5 linked regions of the Oryctolagus cuniculus genome follow. The protein of the gene in region 1 purifies or fractionates together with the protein of each later gene. This does not show direct contact. Links are inferred from orthologs where the notes say so. Each region holds a gene or a part of one and is shown on either strand. Other genes may lie near its edges. The genes, in order: PTPDC1, PPP2R2D, PPP2R2A, MAPK1 and PPP2CA.

What was found.
Region 2: the proteins of PTPDC1 (region 1) and PPP2R2D purify together in Homo sapiens (affinity purification with mass spectrometry; 5 studies listed by BioGRID and IntAct, counting the BioPlex papers as one, with this or other methods). This does not show direct contact. The link is inferred for Oryctolagus cuniculus from reciprocal best matches to the Homo sapiens genes PTPDC1 and PPP2R2D.
Region 3: the proteins of PTPDC1 (region 1) and PPP2R2A purify together in Homo sapiens (affinity purification with mass spectrometry; 4 studies listed by BioGRID and IntAct, counting the BioPlex papers as one, with this or other methods). This does not show direct contact. The link is inferred for Oryctolagus cuniculus from reciprocal best matches to the Homo sapiens genes PTPDC1 and PPP2R2A.
Region 4: the proteins of PTPDC1 (region 1) and MAPK1 purify together in Homo sapiens (affinity purification with mass spectrometry; 3 studies listed by BioGRID and IntAct, with this or other methods). This does not show direct contact. The link is inferred for Oryctolagus cuniculus from reciprocal best matches to the Homo sapiens genes PTPDC1 and MAPK1.
Region 5: the proteins of PTPDC1 (region 1) and PPP2CA purify together in Homo sapiens (affinity purification with mass spectrometry; 4 studies listed by BioGRID and IntAct, counting the BioPlex papers as one, with this or other methods). This does not show direct contact. The link is inferred for Oryctolagus cuniculus from reciprocal best matches to the Homo sapiens genes PTPDC1 and PPP2CA.

The regions. Positions count from the first base shown.
Region 1 is NC_091432.1:145,122,011-145,125,972, forward strand, and holds the start of PTPDC1 (protein tyrosine phosphatase domain-containing protein 1), read right to left. Parts: upstream 2,811-3,962; 5' UTR 2,671-2,810; coding exon 2,358-2,670; intron 1,873-2,357; coding exon 1,701-1,872; intron 1-1,700. UniProt on the Homo sapiens protein: May play roles in cilia formation and/or maintenance.
Region 2 is NC_091446.1:1,029,641-1,033,154, forward strand, and holds part of PPP2R2D (serine/threonine-protein phosphatase 2A 55 kDa regulatory subunit B delta isoform), read right to left. Parts: intron 3,407-3,514; coding exon 3,229-3,406; intron 1,354-3,228; coding exon 1,189-1,353; intron 1-1,188. UniProt on the Homo sapiens protein: Substrate-recognition subunit of protein phosphatase 2A (PP2A) that plays a key role in cell cycle by controlling mitosis entry and exit. Involved in chromosome clustering during late mitosis by mediating dephosphorylation of MKI67.
Region 3 is NC_091433.1:47,880,064-47,883,577, forward strand, and holds part of PPP2R2A (serine/threonine-protein phosphatase 2A 55 kDa regulatory subunit B alpha isoform), read right to left. Parts: intron 1,342-3,514; coding exon 1,229-1,341; intron 1-1,228. UniProt on the Homo sapiens protein: Substrate-recognition subunit of protein phosphatase 2A (PP2A) that plays a key role in cell cycle by controlling mitosis entry and exit. Involved in chromosome clustering during late mitosis by mediating dephosphorylation of MKI67.
Region 4 is NC_091452.1:28,976,468-28,980,551, reverse strand, and holds the start of MAPK1 (mitogen-activated protein kinase 1), read right to left. Parts: upstream 2,801-4,084; 5' UTR 2,662-2,800; coding exon 2,543-2,661; intron 1-2,542. UniProt on the Homo sapiens protein: Serine/threonine kinase which acts as an essential component of the MAP kinase signal transduction pathway. MAPK1/ERK2 and MAPK3/ERK1 are the 2 MAPKs which play an important role in the MAPK/ERK cascade.
Region 5 is NC_091437.1:22,497,914-22,501,427, forward strand, and holds part of PPP2CA (serine/threonine-protein phosphatase 2A catalytic subunit alpha isoform), read right to left. Parts: intron 3,248-3,514; coding exon 3,038-3,247; intron 241-3,037; coding exon 67-240; intron 1-66. UniProt on the Homo sapiens protein: Catalytic subunit of protein phosphatase 2A (PP2A), a serine/threonine phosphatase involved in the regulation of a wide variety of enzymes, signal transduction pathways, and cellular events.

The sequences.
Region 1 (3,962 bases):
AATCCTCCGCCTGCGGTGCCGGCATCCCATATGGGTGCTGGTTATAGTCCCGGCTGCTCCTCTTCCAATCCAGCTCTCTGCTGTGACCTGGGAAAGCAGTAGAAGATGGCCCAAGTCCTTGGACCCCTGCACCCACATGGGAGACCAGGAGGAAGCACCTGGGTCCTGGATTCAGATCAGCACAGCTCCAGCTGTAGCTGCCATTAGGAGAGTGAACCAATGGAAGGAAGACCTTTCTTTCTGTCTCTCCCTCTCACTGTCTGTAACTCTACCTCTCAAATAAAAAAATAAAATCTTTAAGAAAAAAAAAAGGAAAAGAAAGCTCAGGTGGTGGCAAAGGTAATAGTCTGGATTAGTCATCTAACAGCGCGACCAAAGGAAAAGGCCAAAGGTGCACTTCTAATTACTCAACTAACTGCATCTGTTACCGGTGGTATTAAATGGGGATACTACTGCCGCCTCCCAGGGTGGGTGTGACAATTCGATACAATGTAAAAGGAAAGTGCTTCAAATGCTGCTTTCTAGAAACTCTGCAAATTGCTTTCTCTAGAACTCAATTCCTTCACCAATAACATGGCAGTAACAACTCCTATGAATTTTATGAAGAGGAGAGATAATAATTTGAAAGCAGCTGGTACAGTGCCCAGCTGATAGCCAAAGGGATGTTTACCAAGCTAATGACAGAGGCCCAATAAAGGGCTGCCATTCTCACTAGGCCTCTGGGCTCTGGCTGCACTTTGGTTAAGTTTCTAACCAGTAGTCTGGAGAAAGAAATGGAAGGTGGTCTACAGGAAGTTGTGGGTCACCCAATCTCAGAGGAATAATGGAGACATCAGGTTAGCATGGCAGACCACAAAAGACACCTCCCCCTCATGAAATTTAGTACGGACTGACCTGAAAGGTTTGGGACCCCCCAAACTAAATAGTACTTAGCTTAAGATGAGGAGGGTATGATATGAAGCAGCAGAGGTGAAAAGGACTCTGTACACACTTTGGTCAACAATAAAGCAGAAAGATTAATGTGATCTTGAGTGACATTGTTTGAAATGTACTTGTCTAATTATGTCTCAGGAATAATATCTGCTTCTTTACACCGTTGCTGTAACAGTGATAGACCAGAATATGATCTGTGGAGAACAGTAATGAAGGCAGATTCCAGACTGCACCCCTGCAGATATATCCAGCAAATCCAATATGAAAAAGTACAAGTTACAAGCTAATAAACTGACCAAGAAACATCTCCAACAAAAGCTGGCAACTTGTACAAAGGCAAACTGAAGCATAATGGGTGAAGATGTGCCCTTTCGTACAGAACACAGGAACACTATAGAAGTAAGGCTAAAGCTCACCCGAATGTAACTGGAAAACTATACGTATACCTTATCGTTCCCTTTAACTTGCATCACAAAAGTTTTACTATTTCTAGCAATTTTTGAAACTTAAGAGCTATGTAATTGTACATTTAAGATATTTGCACATTTCACTTAACTAAAAAAACCTTTAGTTTTGGTTTCATTATTTCCATTTCACAGATAAGGAAACTGGGGCTCAGTAGTTCAGGATCACATGGCTGGTTGGCGGCAAAGTCAGGGATGGAGGCGGGACCCCTGACTCCAAAGGCCTGCCTGGCTCTTCCCACACTCCTCCCTCACCTCCTTTATCGCGTGTGGCTGCAGGCACCCACATGACCACTCACTCACCAGGATGAGTACACCCCCTTAATGGCTTGCTCCTGCTCGCTCCAACGGGCTGGGTTCTCATACTTGCACGCTCTGCCGCCACATGCCATGGAACACGCCATATGTCCGGGGATGACATGCCGTAAACGTTCGCCCACTTTCGTGTACTTTGGTGTTGGGCGTCCTGAATTTCCTAGAACATACAAGGAAGGAAAGATTCCAAATTCCACTCTCCAAATGTAATGGCAACATGGGAAACAGCTTCCATTTTATCTCAGGATTGAAGATGATCAGCCAGTGGTAAGTCCCTTTCATCAAATCAAGAAAAGAAAACTGTTTCCTTTTCACCTAAGCGCATTATCTATTAAAAAAAAAAAAAAAGCTTTCACTAAATAATCTCCAAACATTACACTGGTGGTGAGAAGGAAGAAGCTGTGAAGGAAATCTTTTAAAAGAGGATATTTTGTTCAAAAATTACATTTCTAATGAGAAAACAGAAAACAATCATTTTACCTCCTTTTATATATTCACTAAAATTCTTAGCACAACAGAAAGTAAGAAGTATACAATAGAATCACCTGTCAATTTTTAGAAAGGCAAAAACAACACAGCCCAGTCCCATTCCCTTAAATTTAGACACAAAGGTGTGACAATGTAAAAGAAGAAAGACGGCTTTACTTTTTCTCTCCGGGAAAGTTGGGTTCCCTTCACCACGGCTCACAGAGGACACAGCCACCATCACCTGCAGAGAGGACGAGGACAGCAGCTTCGTGGCAGAGCCGGAGCCCCGCCGGGCCTGCTGCAGCCGCACAACTGGGTCTGAGGTAGAGTGGCGGCGACCCTGCAAAAAGGCACTGAGGAAGTGCACAGCTGAGGGCCGCCGTGGTGCCTCCTGTACCTGCATGGCGCTGGCCCCGGGGAGGGGAGAGCTGGAGGCAGGGAGAAGACAGCCCCGGCTGCTCAGCGAGGAAGTGTGTGGAGACACGGGCATCGCTCTGTATGATCTAAGAGCTATTCAGGATAGGCTGACTCGTTTCCATAGTGACAAACAAAGAAAGTACTGATTCCCACTTAGATCTGAACAGGCAAAATTCTACACCAACGGATTGTGTTTTGGACAAATTGTTCAAATATACGGAAGAGTAATGTGTATTCTAAGTAGATTATCCCAAATCTAGACTACTTTATTTTCTTTCTCAAACATACTTAAAGAGTTCTGACCACTCAGAATTACCTCCAAAAGACTGTAATGAAATAAGAAATGTTTTCATGACGCAATCACTGCCTTTTACACCTATGAATAGGTTTAAATTCTGTTATTCCTTTCCTAGCTATTCTCTGGATAGTTTTGAAAGATTCTTCCTAGTCCTCCCTGGGATAGAGTGGACAAAAAGTTAATTCTAATAAAGTGGGATATGCTTGATGCCTTACAACATTAGGAAAAAATAGAATTTTCATAACCAAATACACTCTATATTTTCTTGATAGAACTCCTAAAGAAACACTTGGGTAGAACAAGGACATTTTAGAGGGCATGCATTAGCAGAAGACGTTTAATTTCATATTTTTATTTTCGGAGCATGAAAACCCAATTCCTGGTAATGTCTCTGCCGGATGACAGCTACTAGTTGTGAGTCTGAGTAACTGAGAGCAGTCAGCCTCTCACAAACTCAAGCACAACTTCCTGTCTTTTTTTGCTATGAGGCAAGAAGCTGCTTCCATAATGCCTTGGCGGATGTATATGAACAAAACTCACTAAGGATCACATTTTTTAAGGAACTAGATGAGGGGGAGGTTGCAAATTGAGTATAAAGGATATAAAGAAAACAGAAACTGCAACAACCGCCAATGCATTCATTGTCCGCCTCCTCCCTGGTTAATGTCAGGCTGCGCCCGCGCTTGCTCTCACTCACTCCTTCTCTGAACAAACGGTATTTTAGTCGTGTGCGGATGGAACAAACTACTGCCATAGATAAAGCCCTCTTCTGTTTTAACAATTACTAATGCGATAAGCAAGCCTTTTAAAATGCCACCCCCGTGTCCCCAACAATATATACTTTTGTCAAACAAGGCAGAAACACAGAAGCCCAAGTTGGTGCCCAAATTCCTACTCCATGTGTAGTATTATGCCCTTGTTATTTGGTACACAGCAACGGAAGAAGAGTTCCTTTCTTTTCTTTTCTTTTCTTTTTTTTTAATATCACCAATTCAGAAAGCTTCTCTGCCTGGAGGAATGCTCTGAGCAGTATTCTAGGCAGGGCCCCTAAGGGCCACATGGGAACA
Region 2 (3,514 bases), on another chromosome or scaffold:
TGGCGCAAGGGCTAGGACAGCGCTCGGCACGCCATGCGCCTTGTCGGAGTGCGTTCCAGTCCAACCCGACTTCCTGCAGGGCACACCCTGGGAGACAGCAGGTGGGCCCTGTCAGTCACACACGGACGCAGATGGGAGTTCTGGGCTCCCAGCTTCAGCCTGGCCCGGCCCCGGCTGTTGCAGCATCTGAGTGGATCAGCAGATGGCAGATCTCTAGCTGTCTTTCCAATCAAAAACAAAGCTTTACTTTCAGGAACAGGAAACTGCTCTAGGTGCCACCATGAAGACACGGGCAGGCATCAGAGGACACGGCCCCTCCCCAAGTGCCATGGGACAGGGTTTCTGCGCCGCAGGCCCCTGTAGCAGGCACAGGAGCACAGAACGCCCCCTTTTAAGTTTACTTTTATTTATTTGAAAGGCAGAGAGGAAGACAGAGACAGCTTCTGTTCGCAGGTTTGCTTCCCAAATGCCCAAGACTAGCTGGGGCTGGGCCAGGCTGAAGCCAGGACCAGTCTCCCTTGTGGGTGGGGGGCAGAGACCCCGCACTTGGGGCCTCACTGCTGCCTCCGGGCGTCTGCATTAGCAGGAAGCTGGACTGGAAGCAGAGCTGGGGCCTGGCTGCAGGCACTCCAATGTGGGATGCAGGCTTCCCAAGGGATGGCTTAAACCACCGTGCCACACACTCTCCCCAGGGGTGCCGAATCCTTAACACACTTAGTCTGAGGAAGAGAGCGAGGCAGAAAGCTGTCAACAGCTAGAGTCAATGGGTGAGGATGAGCAAGGGTGCCTGAGGCTGCAGCTGACAGAGGTCCCACAGGCGCTGCCTGGCGGCTCTGGGGCTGGTGAGTGCGCTCTGCTCCGCGGGCGCAGCTGCACCTGCTCCTGCCCGGCCTGGGGGAGGACCAGCAAGGTTTCCAGGACGCCTGTCTCCAAACACCATGGCAGACTGTGGTTTTCCACAGAGTCGGGCCAAGTAAGAACAAAGCCACCACCGTTCTTCTCATGACTGCACGCATTCGAACGCCAGACCTCAGGGACCTGGCTCCAGGTCCAGCAGAGCTCACTGGTGAGACGCGCTCTCGCAGCCCGGCCCAGGCGCTAGTGCTCCGAGGGAGACAGCACTGCCCGCCGGGAGCCTGCCGTGTGGGCCCCAGGGAGCCGCCTGTCTGGTGGCCGCGGGACACTCACATTTGGCGTGCCTGTCGCACAGGGCGGACGAGCGCATGTCGCACAGCCGCACGGTGCCCTTGCTGCTGCTGTAGACGAGCACGTTGCACTGGTGCGGGTGGAACTCGGCCGCCGTGATGACCTCCGTCAGCTCCTCCATGTTCGCGGGCTTGATGTCCACGATGTCTGCGGAGCAGCGTTAAGGCTCAGGGCTCAGCGCCAAGTTTGCCCTCAACAGGGAACACGTCACCACACAGGGAGGTGGAAGGCTCAGAGCAAAGCAGCCACCAGACAGAGGGCAGGCGTGAGCCCGCTAACAGACGACGGAGCACGGAGGGCCATGCAGGGACGGGACAGAGGGCAGGTGTGAGCCCGCTAACAGACGACGGAGCACGGAGGGTCATGCAGGGACGGGACAGAGGGCAGGCGTGAGCCCGCTAACAGACGACGGAGCACGGAGGGCCATGCAGGGACGGGACAGAGGGGGGCAGGCGTGAGCCCACTAACAGACGACGGAGCACGGAGGGCCATGCAGGGACGGGACAGAGGGGGGCAGGCGTGAGCCCGCTAACAGACGACGGAGCACGGAGGGTCATGGCAGGGACGGGACAGAGGGCAGGCGTGAGCCCGCTAACAGACGACGGAGCACGGAGGGCCATGCAGGGACGGGACAGAGGGGGGCAGGCGTGAGCCCGCTAACAGACGACGGAGCACGGAGGGCCATGCAGGGACGGGACAGAGGGGGGCAGGCGTGAGCCCGCTAACAGACGACGGAGCACGGAGGGCCATGCAGGGACCACCTCTCTGCTGTTCTCAGCGTGTGTTTAACCACCAAGAAAAAGTAACAGACGCACGCTACACACACCCAATACACACCCAATACTGCCACAGAGAATCTGATTATCTGACATGGAGAGCTTGCTCTGAATACTTGGAGCCACGTCCACGTAGAAACCAGTCAACTGAGACAAGAGGGAAGTCAGGATTCCACGATGGGTCAGCCTGGCCGCCCGCTGCAGCTGTGCCGGAGAGACTAGCCCGCGGCTGTCCAGGGGAAGTCACCGACACCGACAGCGGGCAGGGAGAGATGCACAGTGAGCCCTGTCTGCCCGGCCTGCTGGCTGGGGCACGTGCGGGCCACGGGGCGGGGGGAGCCCACGAGGGGCCCAGCGAGTCCGAGAGGAGGCAGCAGGTTCCGGGAAGGCTGCAGGGCTCAGCGTGAGGAGCTGCCCAGCCAGGCCCGTGACCTCAGTGCGGGGCAGCACGGGCAGGAGGCCGAGTCTCCAGAGCATGTGTGAGCAGGGCTGGGGCTCTGCCCAGAATCCACATGGCCCCGGGCGCAGCAGCCGGACAGGCGACGGAGGGCACGAGGCCACGGCTGACGACTGACTGCCCGGAGGCAGCGCAAGCCCCACGCCACACTGCTCCCAGGCAGGGAGTGAAATGCCACCCTCGTCACCCTCGTCTAAGCTTCCGCCATTTCATGATCTGTCAGCAATGTAGAAGAAAAAACACGCAACACAGCCTGGTCAACACTGCCACTGGCGGAGCCACGCGGGCCACGGCCTTCGGGTCATTCCCAGCACACTGAGAACCTCCCCCAAAGGCAGAACAACGCCGTGTTCTCAGGGAAAAGTGCTTTATCTCACGGGGAACTTACAGCACTGGCTCTAAGCAGTGTGCAGCGTGCGGTGAGACTGAGAAGCAGGGGCCAGCGCTGTGCCACAGCGGGTAGAGCCGCTGCCTGCAGTGTGGCATCCTGTATGGGCGCCAGCTCAAGTCCTGGCTGCTCCACTTCCGATCCAGCTCTCTGCTATAGCGGTCTGGGAAAGCAGTGGAAGATGGCCCTTGTTCTTGGGCCCCTGCACCCGTGTGGGAGACCTGGAGGGAGCTCCTGGCTCCTGCCTTCAGACTGGCGCAATCTGGGGAGTGAACCAGCGGGTGGAAGACCCCCGGCCCTGCCTCTCCTTCTCTCTTGGTGTAACTCTGACTTTCAAATAAATAAGTAAATCTTAAAAAAAGAAAGAAAGAAGCAGGCATGGGATGTGCGGGGAAGGATACTGAAACTTCTGTCCGTGATTTCCAGGTGCCACAGGTTAATTCGCAGGTCATCTGCAGAGAGATACGTCTCGTGGTCACTGTTCACTGAAATGGAATTGATGTGATACGTGTGAGCATTCGCAAAGATCCGCCGCGGGCTGGCTTCCACCATAAGGTCCATGGGCTTCAAGATGGGGACCTGTAAACGGAAGGCACAGGAATTGAAATGACGACCACATAGCAGGGACTGGGACAGACCTTCACGGCCGAGAGCTGGTGTCGTGCAGAGCACACGCCCAGTCCCCCA
Region 3 (3,514 bases), on another chromosome or scaffold:
TTCAAATAGCACATAAGGCTCAGAACACTTCATTACTGTAATTTTTGAGAGGACAAAGAATGGTACAATATTACATAGATTAGCTTTAAAAATGAACTGATGATGACTCCTTAAATTGTTCAAATCAGCAGAAAATGAACATATCTTTAATTTTTTTTTAAAGGCAGAGTTAGAGAGAGAGTGATCTTCCATCTGCTGATTCGCTCCCCCCAAATGGCTGCCAACAACCAGGGCTGGGCCAGCCAGAAGACAGGTGACAGGAGCTTCTTCTAGGTCTCTCATGGGGGTGGCAGGGGCCCAAATACTTGGGTCATCTTCTGCTGCTTTTCCCAGGTGCATTAGCAGAAAGCTGGACCAGAAGTGGAGCAGTGGGGACTTGAACCAGCAACAATATGGGATGCCAGCACTGCAGGTGGCAGCTTAAGCTGCTGCACCACGGCCTGGCTCCTGGACAATTTATCTTAAAGTTTATTTACTTTTTAAATTTATTTGAAAGAACAGAGAGAAAATAATAGATATCTTGTTTCTGCTGGTTCACTTTCCAAATGCCTGCAACAGCAAGAGCTGGGCCAGGTTGAAGTCAGGAGTCAAGAATTATATCACCTGCCTACCTGGGTGCAAATTAGCAGGCGGTTGGGTAGGAAGTGGAGGTGAGATTTGATTCATGCACACCAATATGGGGTATGGGCATCCCAAAAAGGAGCTTAACCTGATGTCCCACAATTCACCTTCTTTTACTGGCAGCAATACTATTAGAATTTGCAGTTCTTCTTGGTTCAAAATCATTTGCTTGAGGAAGTACAATGCTAACAAGTACTTACAGTTCACAGCAATTTAAGGCTAAATAGGAAATAATTCCATAGCATTTAATTCTGGACAGTTTTAGCTACAATTGTATAATTTGGCCCATCCCTAGTTTTTGGTCTCCAAATAGAATTAATCTTGAAGCTTAATCTTGTAATAGCTGACATTCCAACTATGAGAGCGGGAGTGTGTAGTGTAAAGCAGCCTTCTGTTTTGAGTTCTAGTCCTGCCCTGGCTACAGTGGGGCCTCTATGTATGTCAATTTTTGTATTTAAATGGGAATTATTCAAAGTCCTACCTGGTTACAGAATTGTTGGTGTAGGTTAACTCTATTTCTATTCAGGTTCTGCTCAGAATCTAAGCCTATATGATAAGAATACAGATCACTATTCATGAAAATTATAACCATTTTTTATATACTTACTCGTAGTGTAGTAACCGTAGTAGGATCTCTATATCTTCCATCTTCCTCTTTCAAGTTATACCCTTCTGGTCTTTTGTCCCTTTCACTAATTTTCCATAATTTTATTGTTTTATCTGGAGAAGAATAAAGAAAGTTCTTAAAAAGTAGTAACAATGATAGAACAAAAACATTTTAAGGCATTTTAAACGCGTGATTTTCATTATTTTTCCAAAAAGGATTTTCTTATAAAATTCCTTAACTGGCTTAATTAGAAGTTTCCTATTACTGGGTGAATAAAAGTAAATACGGGGCCAGCACTGTGGCATAGCAGGTAAAGCTGCCGCCTGCAGTGCCAGCATCCCATATGGGCGCCAGTTCGTGTCCCAGATGCTCCACTTCCAATCCAGCTCTATGCTATGGCCTAGGAAAGCAGTGGAAGATGGCCCAAGTCCTTGGGTCCCTACACCCACATGGGAGGCCCAGAAGAAGCTCCTGGCTCCTGGCTTCAGATCGGCGCAACTCCGGCCATTGCAGCCAATTGAGGAGTGAACCAGCGGATGAAGACCTCTCTCTCTGTCTCTCCTTCTCTCTCTGTGTAACTCTGAGTTTCAAGTAAATAAATAAGTCTTAAAAAAAAATACACATAAAAATACAGTGCAGATATCACAAATTTAAACATTAATGGTACTCTTTGTAATACTCAAATCAAATTACAGCCATATCTCGCTTCTTTATCTACATACATATGCTTATTCAATTGTTTATATTACCCTAGACACATATGCATTTAGTTAATACTGTGTGATACTAAAATTGCATCTTACATAAAATCATTACATTCCAATCTTTCACAAGTAAGAAGGTCTAACAATTTTAGTCATCTTATAAAGTAGTTCAAAGCAACTCAAGATACCAGTGACCCCTTATGTCTGGCTATCTCTCTCTTACAGAAGAACACGAGTTATTTCAATGGATACCTTTCTGAAATATGAAGCTCTAAACCCAGTAAGATTCCTAACTCTTGCAACTTGTAATCTATTATTTTTTCCTAAACCCTATGTAATGATGTGTGTAATATTCCAGCAGTTAAGTGATGCATCCCCTAGCTGTTTTGTGTCTTGTTTAAATTCATCACTTCTATTAAGGATTAGATAAATAAATCACAATATTTCAAATTGTGACCAAACTTTCAAATAAGACAATTTTAGTTTGAGGTTCCTAATAGTGTAATGCTGGAAGAACTCTTTTTTAAATTCCTGAAAAATTGGACATTAAAACACATTAAACCAAAAACAAAATATTTTGATAAATTTTGAGGCTCAGGAGGATAAAGACTTTTTTCAAGAGTATAAACATAGGATACAGAAGTACGATGACAGTACATCATTTCAGTGCAGTACCTTGAAGACAAGGCAGATTAGAAACAAATTAGTAATTTAATAAATGACAAAAATTTCGAAATCCTTATGTTCTACAGAGGTTTTCTGTTTTGTTTTGTTTTAACCTGAAGCTTTTGGTCCTTAGGACGAGGTAAATGAAAATAATCAAAGTACATAAAATTGTACACAAGACTATGTAAATATATACTGTTTTTATGGTTTATTTATTTGAAAGTCAGAGTTACATAGAGAGAGAGGAGAGGCAGAGGCAGAGGCAGGGACAGAGGGATGGAGGGAGGGAAGGAGGGAAGGGGGGGGGGGTCTTCCATCTGCTGGTTCACTCCCCAGTTGGCCACAATGGCCGGAGCTGCGCCGATTTGAAGCCAGGAGCTAGGAGCTTCCTGCAGGTCTCCCATGTGGATGCAGGGGCCCTAGGGCTTAGGGCATCTTCCACTGCTTTCCCAGGCCACAGCAGAGAGCCGGATCAGAAGTGGAACAGCTGGGACCCAAACCAATGCCCATATGGGATGCTGGCACTATAGGCGGTGGCCTTACCCGGTACACCACAGCGCCAGCCTCATATATACACTTTTCAGGGCAAGGGATTATTAGACTCTCAATGAGATCTCTTCCTTCCAAACTTGTTGCTCTGTGCTATTTCCCTGTATTTTCAACACTAATAGCTCAGCTCAAGTGTTCCACAAGTCCACATGTTCCTTTGTCTTTCTGACTCCAGCATAAAGTTGTAACAGAGAAAACAATGTTACCAAAGTCTCTCTTGTGGGAATGCAGATTTACATAAGACCTAAACAACTATTTTATCAACAAGCTGCTAAAACCAACAATTTATTAAGAAACTGTAATATTCATGTATTCAGAACTCACGGTCAACAGGTTAGTTTGACATTTTTTTTTAATGTGGATGAAT
Region 4 (4,084 bases), on another chromosome or scaffold:
GGATGGCCCAAGTGCTTGGGCCCTGCACCCCACGGGAGACCAGGAGAGGCACCTGGCTTCGGATTAGCGCAGTGCACCGGCCGTGGTGCGCCGGCCACGGCAGCCATTGGAGGGTGAACCAATGGCAAAAAGGAAGACCTTTCTCTCTGTCTCTCTCTCTCTCTCACTGTCCACTCTGCCTGTCAAAAAAAAAAATAAATAAATAAATAAAAAATTTAACCACGAAGTCCTCCATAACCCCAGCACTGTATTTATCAAAAGCCAAACAATGTGCAGTATAGATTAACGGCAGGTTGTATCACCAACTTGCAATAATCTGTAATCTGGGCCCACGATTCAAATGTCAATTATATTTGTTTTATTTCAAAAGAGAAAATTACAGCAAGAGAAGTTAGCACTTCAACTGGAGACAGAGGTTGGATTAGTCTACAGCAGTGACAGAAACAGCTTCTAAATCGACATCACCCTCAGATTAAAGAAAAAAATCTCATCAGCTAAGGGAAAAAAATGCTTTCAACTGACATATCCTAAAGATTTTTTTTCAGTTCATATTTTATATAATTAAAGGGGGGAGGGGTGTCAAAGGGCATGACGGGCAATCCTGAGCCTCTCATGAGATAGTCACTGGTGTACTCACCAGCAGGCATGACAACAATAACACGTGTGACACAGAAGGGATACCAGGGGCAGTACTTTCTTTATTTTTTAAATTATTTTAATTTTTTGACAGGCAGAGTGGACAGTGAGAGAGAGAGACAGAGAGAAAGGTCTTCTTTTTGCCGTTGGTTCACCCTCCAATGGCCGGCGCGGCCGGCGCACCGCGCTGATCTGATGGCAGGAGCCAGGTGCTTCTCCTGGTCTCCCATGGGGTGCAGGGCCCAAGCACTTGGGCCATCCTCCACTGCACTCCCGGGCCACAGCAGAGAGTTGACCTGGAAGAGGGGCAACTGGGACAGAATCCGGTGCCCCGACCGGGACTAGAACCTGGGGTGCCGGTACCGCAGGTGGAGGATTAGCCTAGTGAGCCGTGGCGCCGGCCTCCAGTACTTTTTCAGAGCCTAATTTCTTTCAGGCCTGACCTAATTTCTCTTTTCACTTCTTAGCTGGGGTGGGGGTGGGGGTGGGGGTGGGGGTGGGGGGAAGTCATGCTAATTTTCACAGCTGTATACTGGGGAGCAATTCGCTCCTAAAGCAAACGAAAACATGCAGGATTCAATTATTCAAAAATAATTCCAACTACTTCTATCTAGTCAAGGTGATTGGTAAAGCAAGTGCTCCATGGCATTTCTGAAGTCATCATCACTCAGATTTGCATACGTTTCTTAAACAGACTCGCACACAGCAGTAAAAGAGGCTAAAAATCCCGAAATTATCACTGATGCTATTTTAAGGGACGCTGGGTGTACCACAAAGATCTCAGGCTTCAATCTCAAGACTGACACTTTCTTCTATGACCTTAGAAAATTGGCACCTAACAGAGGGATATTACCAGCTTTTCCTTTGGGGTGGGGTGGGGGGGCTGTTCAAATAAAATACGGATGTGGCACACAGTAAGGGGCACGAAGCAGTCCACAAATTAGTGCTCAGTTACTTCATTCATCAGGAAAAGACACACTCATGAGACTGAGAAGCAGGAGAATCTACTTCTGCACGAAGCGCCTCTTCCGAGGGAGCCTTGCGTGTGACTGTGCAAAAAAAGTCCCCGAAAGGCGGAATGTATACACTGACCGCTAAAATACCAACAGCAAAACCCTCGGTCCTCGGGCCAACACGACAGGATGCATCTATACTGGTTAGGAGCTCACCTGAGAGGAGGGAAGAGAGGGAGAGGAAAAAAAAAAAAAAAAAAAGAGCAAATTGGGCCCAACTGCAAGCAGATTTAATAAACCAAGAGGGATGCCGGCTGCTTATTCCTGAAACGCACGGTAACACATGCATGCCCGTTTAAACATTAAAAAAAAAAAAAAAACTGCAAGACGAATTCTTCATACAAGCCACACTGCCGACCTGGGTGCTTTTTCGGAAGGCCTGCTCAGGCGAGCACCAGCTAACGACCGCTGAGGGACAGACACTTCACGCACAGCCGGCCGCCGTTCCGCACACACGCAGGGTCCAACCGCGTCCAAGCCCAGGGCCATGCATCTGACGGCATTCCCGGCTTCGCGAGCACCCCGGGGCGCGACGGATGCTTCCGTTCCCCTCCTGGGCTGGGGATCGGGAATCTGGGCTTGCAATCTACATTTCTGAAATCTTGGGGGGTGGGGTGGAGGAGCCGGGCTGGAAACCCAGCGGCTATCCGGTGCAGGGCGTCCGCGGGTCCCGGCCTCCGCCCCCCTGCGGCGAGCGAGGGCCCGGCCCGGGACCGGCCACCGGCCACGAGCAGCGACATCTTAAACCTCGAGCCGGGGCCCTGCCCGAGGGAGCCCGGGACTGGGGTCGACCGCTGCGCGGGAGGCCGAGACGCGGGCGAGGCCGCGGCGCATCCGCTGCAGCCCCGGGCGGGGGAGCGGGCCAGGCCTGCGGGGCGGGCGCCGACACTCACCACACCATGCCGTAGGCGCCCTCGCCGATGTACGAGAGGTTGGTGTAGCGCGGCCCCACGTCGAACACCTGCCCGCGGACCATCTCCGGGCCCGTGCCCGCCGCCGCCGCCGCCGCCATGTTGGCTGCCGGGCCGCCGCCGCCGCGCTGGGCTCGACGCTCCGCGGCCGCCGCTCCGCTCCCGCCGCGCTTCCCCAAGGGACCGCGCCGCCGTCCGTGCAGCCGCCGCAGCTGACCGCCAAAGAGGCAGGACGGCGCCGCTTTCGGGGAAGCGGAGAGCCGACGTCCGCTCGCCTCGACTGCCCGTCTCACTTACTGACTGACGGGCGGGCCCGCGGGCGGAGGGAGGGGCGCGCGCCGAGCAGGGCGCCGGGGCGGGGCCGAGCAGCGTGCTCGAGGATTGGCTGCCTGCGGCTGGGGGCGGGGCCGCGCGGGCCGGCGGAAGCGGCGAGCTCAGGGCGGAGCGCTGCGGCGGCGGCGGCGGCGGCGGCGGCGGCTGCGGAGGAGGCGCCGAAGGGCGCGGTCACGTGCGTTCGCTGGTGAGTCGGCGCGGGAGGCGGCTGAGGAGACGCTGAGAGCGGAATGGGGAGACGGGGCGTCACGGGGCTGACCCTGAGGGGCCGGGGCTGGGGCCGGGCGGCGAGCTCGGGCAGTGCGGGGGAAGACGAACGACGCTGCACACGTGGGCTTCGGGCCCTCTGGGGCCCAAACGCTCTGAACAACTTAGGAGGTGTGGAGATTATGTTAGGAACCAGAATACGTGGTCCAGACCGAAGAAGAGATTTGAGTACTGAGAACGTGTGAGACAGGAGAGGCCGAGTGGGTCTGCCCTTAGATCCGCCCTCGTAGAAGATAACTTCCGGAGAGAGGTTTCTCAGGCTGAGGTACTTTCTATGGAGAAATGTCAAGCAGAGTAAGGGGCAGAGAGGAGTGGGTTGAGACACCTGAGGAAGACTCGAGTTGCCACTGTGAGACCGAGACCCATGTTAGGCCGGATGGACATGAGCTTTGAGACGTAGAACGTACTGAGCTGGAAACACCAGGGTGGAATCGCTAAAACCAATAGTCACAGACACATGAGAGGCTGAAAATTAAAAAACTGCAATCTTGAAGCAGACGGATGCCAAGGAAGCTCAGGCCACGCGGTGGAAGATGGGCCAGCCACCGCCTCGGAACCATTTCCTTGCCGTCTGCAGAGGGAAGTGAGAAGGCAGACTCCCCTCATAGCCTTCAGAGCTGCTAATTCGAGACGGCTGGAAATCAATAAAGATTAGCCAGTCAGTCTGGCGCGTTAAAAGCCCTGTGGGAGAGAAAAAAAATAGTGTTACATAAGGGGAAAAAAGTGCTACACCCAAAAGTGAGTTCAAATGTTAGTCCGTGAAGCAGAACCCAATTTTGAAAACACCTAATTCTTATTCTTGATTCTGAAAGGACATTGCATCTCTTTTTAAAAACAGGATGATGAGGCCGGCGCCGCGGCTCAGTAGGCTAATCCTCCACCTTGCGGCGCCGGCACACCGGGTTCTAGTCCCGGTCGGGGCGC
Region 5 (3,514 bases), on another chromosome or scaffold:
AATAAATCTTTACAAAAAAAAAAAAAAAAAAAAAAAAAAAAAAAAAAAAAGGTTTGAGACATATACCTGCCCATCCACCAAGGCAGTGAGAGGAAGATAGTCAAAAAGATCTGTAAAATATTTCCAAACATTTGCGTTTCCATATTTTCTTAAACATTCATCATAGAAACCATAAACCTGTGTGATCTGTCTGCTCTCATGATTTCCTCGAAGAATGGTGATGCGTTCACGGTAACGAACCTACAACAACAGAATGGAAACCATGAAACAGCTTTCAAACACCAAAGGAACATTCAGGAAACTTTCTGAAACCCAGTTTTAATCATTCCATTCCCCCAATAAGAGTCCCTCCTGTCTGTCTACACTCACTCCCTACTCCCATGCTCCTACCATCCAATGATTTATCTGAGACTGCCTTTTCTACAAACTCCATAAGAAACAGAATAATGCAAAAAAAAACAAAAAAAAAAACAAAAAAACACACACAAAAAAAAACAAAAACAAAAACACATAGCTTCTGCACTAAACACCACTCAGAATATGTTCAAGGCTTATCCGTGCTGCAGTATAGATCAGTGGTTTGTTCCTCTGTGCAGCTGCAGTCTTTCACAGTACCGTTATACGGCATATTCTGTATTCATGGGTAGGAGGCACTGTTGAGTAGCTTCTTTCCTTTCTTTAGGCTATTTTGAATTTTTGCCACGATCACCTGTGTACAGTTTTTGAAGACATACGCTTTCATTTCTCTTAGACAGATTTCCAGAATATAATTTGCTTATAGTAAGTTATGCTTCACCTGTTGACAATCATTCAAAGTGACTAGACCCTTTCACATTCTCACAAGCAATGAACCAGGATGCTAATCTCTCCACATACTCACAAATACTCGGTACCTGAGCCATGCAAAATGGTATCTCATTGTGACTTGAATTTGCATTTTCCTGTTGACTAATGACGTTGTGTTTTTGTTTTCATGTACTTACCAGTCATGTATCTGCTGGGGTGAAATCTATTCAAGTATTTGTCTTTTATAAAATATCTGTTGTATTAAGGATTTTTGGAAAAAAAAATCTCAAATACATATTTTTGTTCTTAGTAATATTTTCTGAACAAAAAACCTTACTTTTTTATGAGGTCTGGTTTTTCTTTTTTTTTAAATTGATTTCCTTTTGTTAATATCTAAGAAATCTCTCAAGACCAGGAAGATTTTCTATGTTTTAACCTAGAAATCTTACAGCCATAATTCTCATATTCAGGTCTGTAATTCACTTTTATCCATCTGTCTCAGCACTACCGGCTGAAAGGACAATCCTTCCCCCACTCCTGTCTGCTCTAGCTGCTGTAACACCGCGCCATAACAGAGGAGCAGCTTAAGCAACAGAAACCTGGCGTCAGCACAGTTGGGTTTCTCTGCAGACCTCTGTGTCTGCTTTACAGAAGGGCATCGGCTCTATTTGTCTTCTCATTTTCTTCCCTGTGTCCTATCTCTTACAAGAACACCACTCATATGGGAGTAAGGTCCAGTCACATGACCCCATTTTACCTCAATCACCTCTGTAAAGGTCTCAGCTCCAACAGTCACATTCTGAGGTATTATAGGTTGGGAATTCAAAGTATGAATTCCGAGAGGACACAATTCAGCCTGTTACACCCACTTGCATCAATTCTTAAAAGGTGGCACATTCACTCTTCTCCTGGGATTCAGCCTGGGTCTACAGCACAGCTAGCTGCACACTGCTCTCACACAATCTTCCACCGCCCAGTCTCATGTCTTCATTTATAGAGGCAGAACACAATGGCCTCCAGAAATGTACCTAACATTTCCATGAGTTCAATACTAATTACCCATAATCAGCCCTTGCTGAAAGCACAACGCACTGCTTCTTTAATGTTAGAAAAGTCTATGGCAGACATTTTATCATTCTTTCTACTCTTTAATGAGACTGAATCCCAGAAAAAGAAAAAATTCCCCCTGAAGGGCAAGTCAGTTTCTTTTGGGAAAAGCTGAAACCGGCCACCTTCAGAGCTTATTTTCAGCTTTGCTTCATCTGCCTCCTGTCAACTGTGGACTTTGCAAAGCTGCATCTGATACTCAAATGATTTTGCAACTTCCCTTCTTCAATTACCATTTCCACTATCTACATTATGTCATGTTTAACAGCCACAAACTATTCTACCTCAATAAACCCTAATTTGTGGATATTTAGATGAGTACTTTCTTTTTCTGGTATTAAATACTACAATTTATTTACACAAAAATCTTTTCCTCTTCTATTTCTTCCTCAGCACCATTCTAATTACAGGATTTCTGTCAGAGGATATAAACATTCTAACATTTGATCCATTTGTACCTTTACAATATTTTGAAACTAACTAGGAAGGTAACAACTACCTTTCCATACCTGAATCTACTGAATACATTTCTATTTGGCTAGCCCTCTAAGACTGTTCAAACAATCTAAGGCATTATCTTCTCCCCACTTTTTCATTCTGTCCCAACCCTATGCTTGGAATGCAGAATCCTATAAACGTAAAACCTGAATAATTTGCATTTCTCAAGAGAATTTTGTTCTAAAATGTAACATTTAGTTAAGAGGAAAAAAATAATTACTAGGAAACAACAATCAAGAGAACTGTCTTGAGCCGGCGCCGTGGCTCAATAGGCTAATCCTCCACCTTGCGGCGCCGGCACACCGGGTTCTAGTCCCGGTTGGGGCACCGGATTCTGTCCCGGTTGCCCCTCTTCCAGGCCAGCTCTCTGCTATGGCCAGGGAGTGCAGTGGAGGATGGCCCAGGTGCTTGGGCCCTGCACCCCATGGGAGACCAGGAAAAGCACCTGGCTCCTGGCTCCTGCCAGGATCAGCGCGGTGCGCCGGCTGCAGCGGCGGCCATTGGAGGGTGAACCAGCGGCAAAGGAAGACCTTTCTCTCTCTGTCTCTCTCTCTCACTGTCCACTCTGCCTGTCAAAAAAAAAAAAAAAAAAAAAGAGAGAACTGTCTTACCCAGTTCAAAATAATCAAACATAAGCTGAAATTACCTTAAGAGCTACAAGCAGTGTAACTGTTTCAACGGAGTAATATCCTCTGTCAACATAATCTCCCATAAACAAGTAATTTGTGTCTGGTGATTTGCCACCAATTCTAAACAGTTCCATGAGATCGTGAAATTGCCCATGCACATCTCCACAGACAGTAACTGGACATCGAACCTCTTGCACGTTGGATTCTTTTGTCAGGATTTCTTTAGCCTACAGACAAAACCATAAAACAATATTTAGTATGAAATGACATTAACAAAGATACACTGAATTATATTTAATGCAGCTTAAGAGGCAAACTTGGTTTAAGATGAAATTGTCAGAATTTATGATCCTATTAAAAATAAGACATCAGATGGCTAGACTATTCCTTTGCTATCTCATCTCCGAAACCTAGAAAAAAATGTTATCAGGATGCACAGCCCATTCCCATCAATAATAGGAATGTTCAAGCCTGTCAAATGGCCATCTGATTAC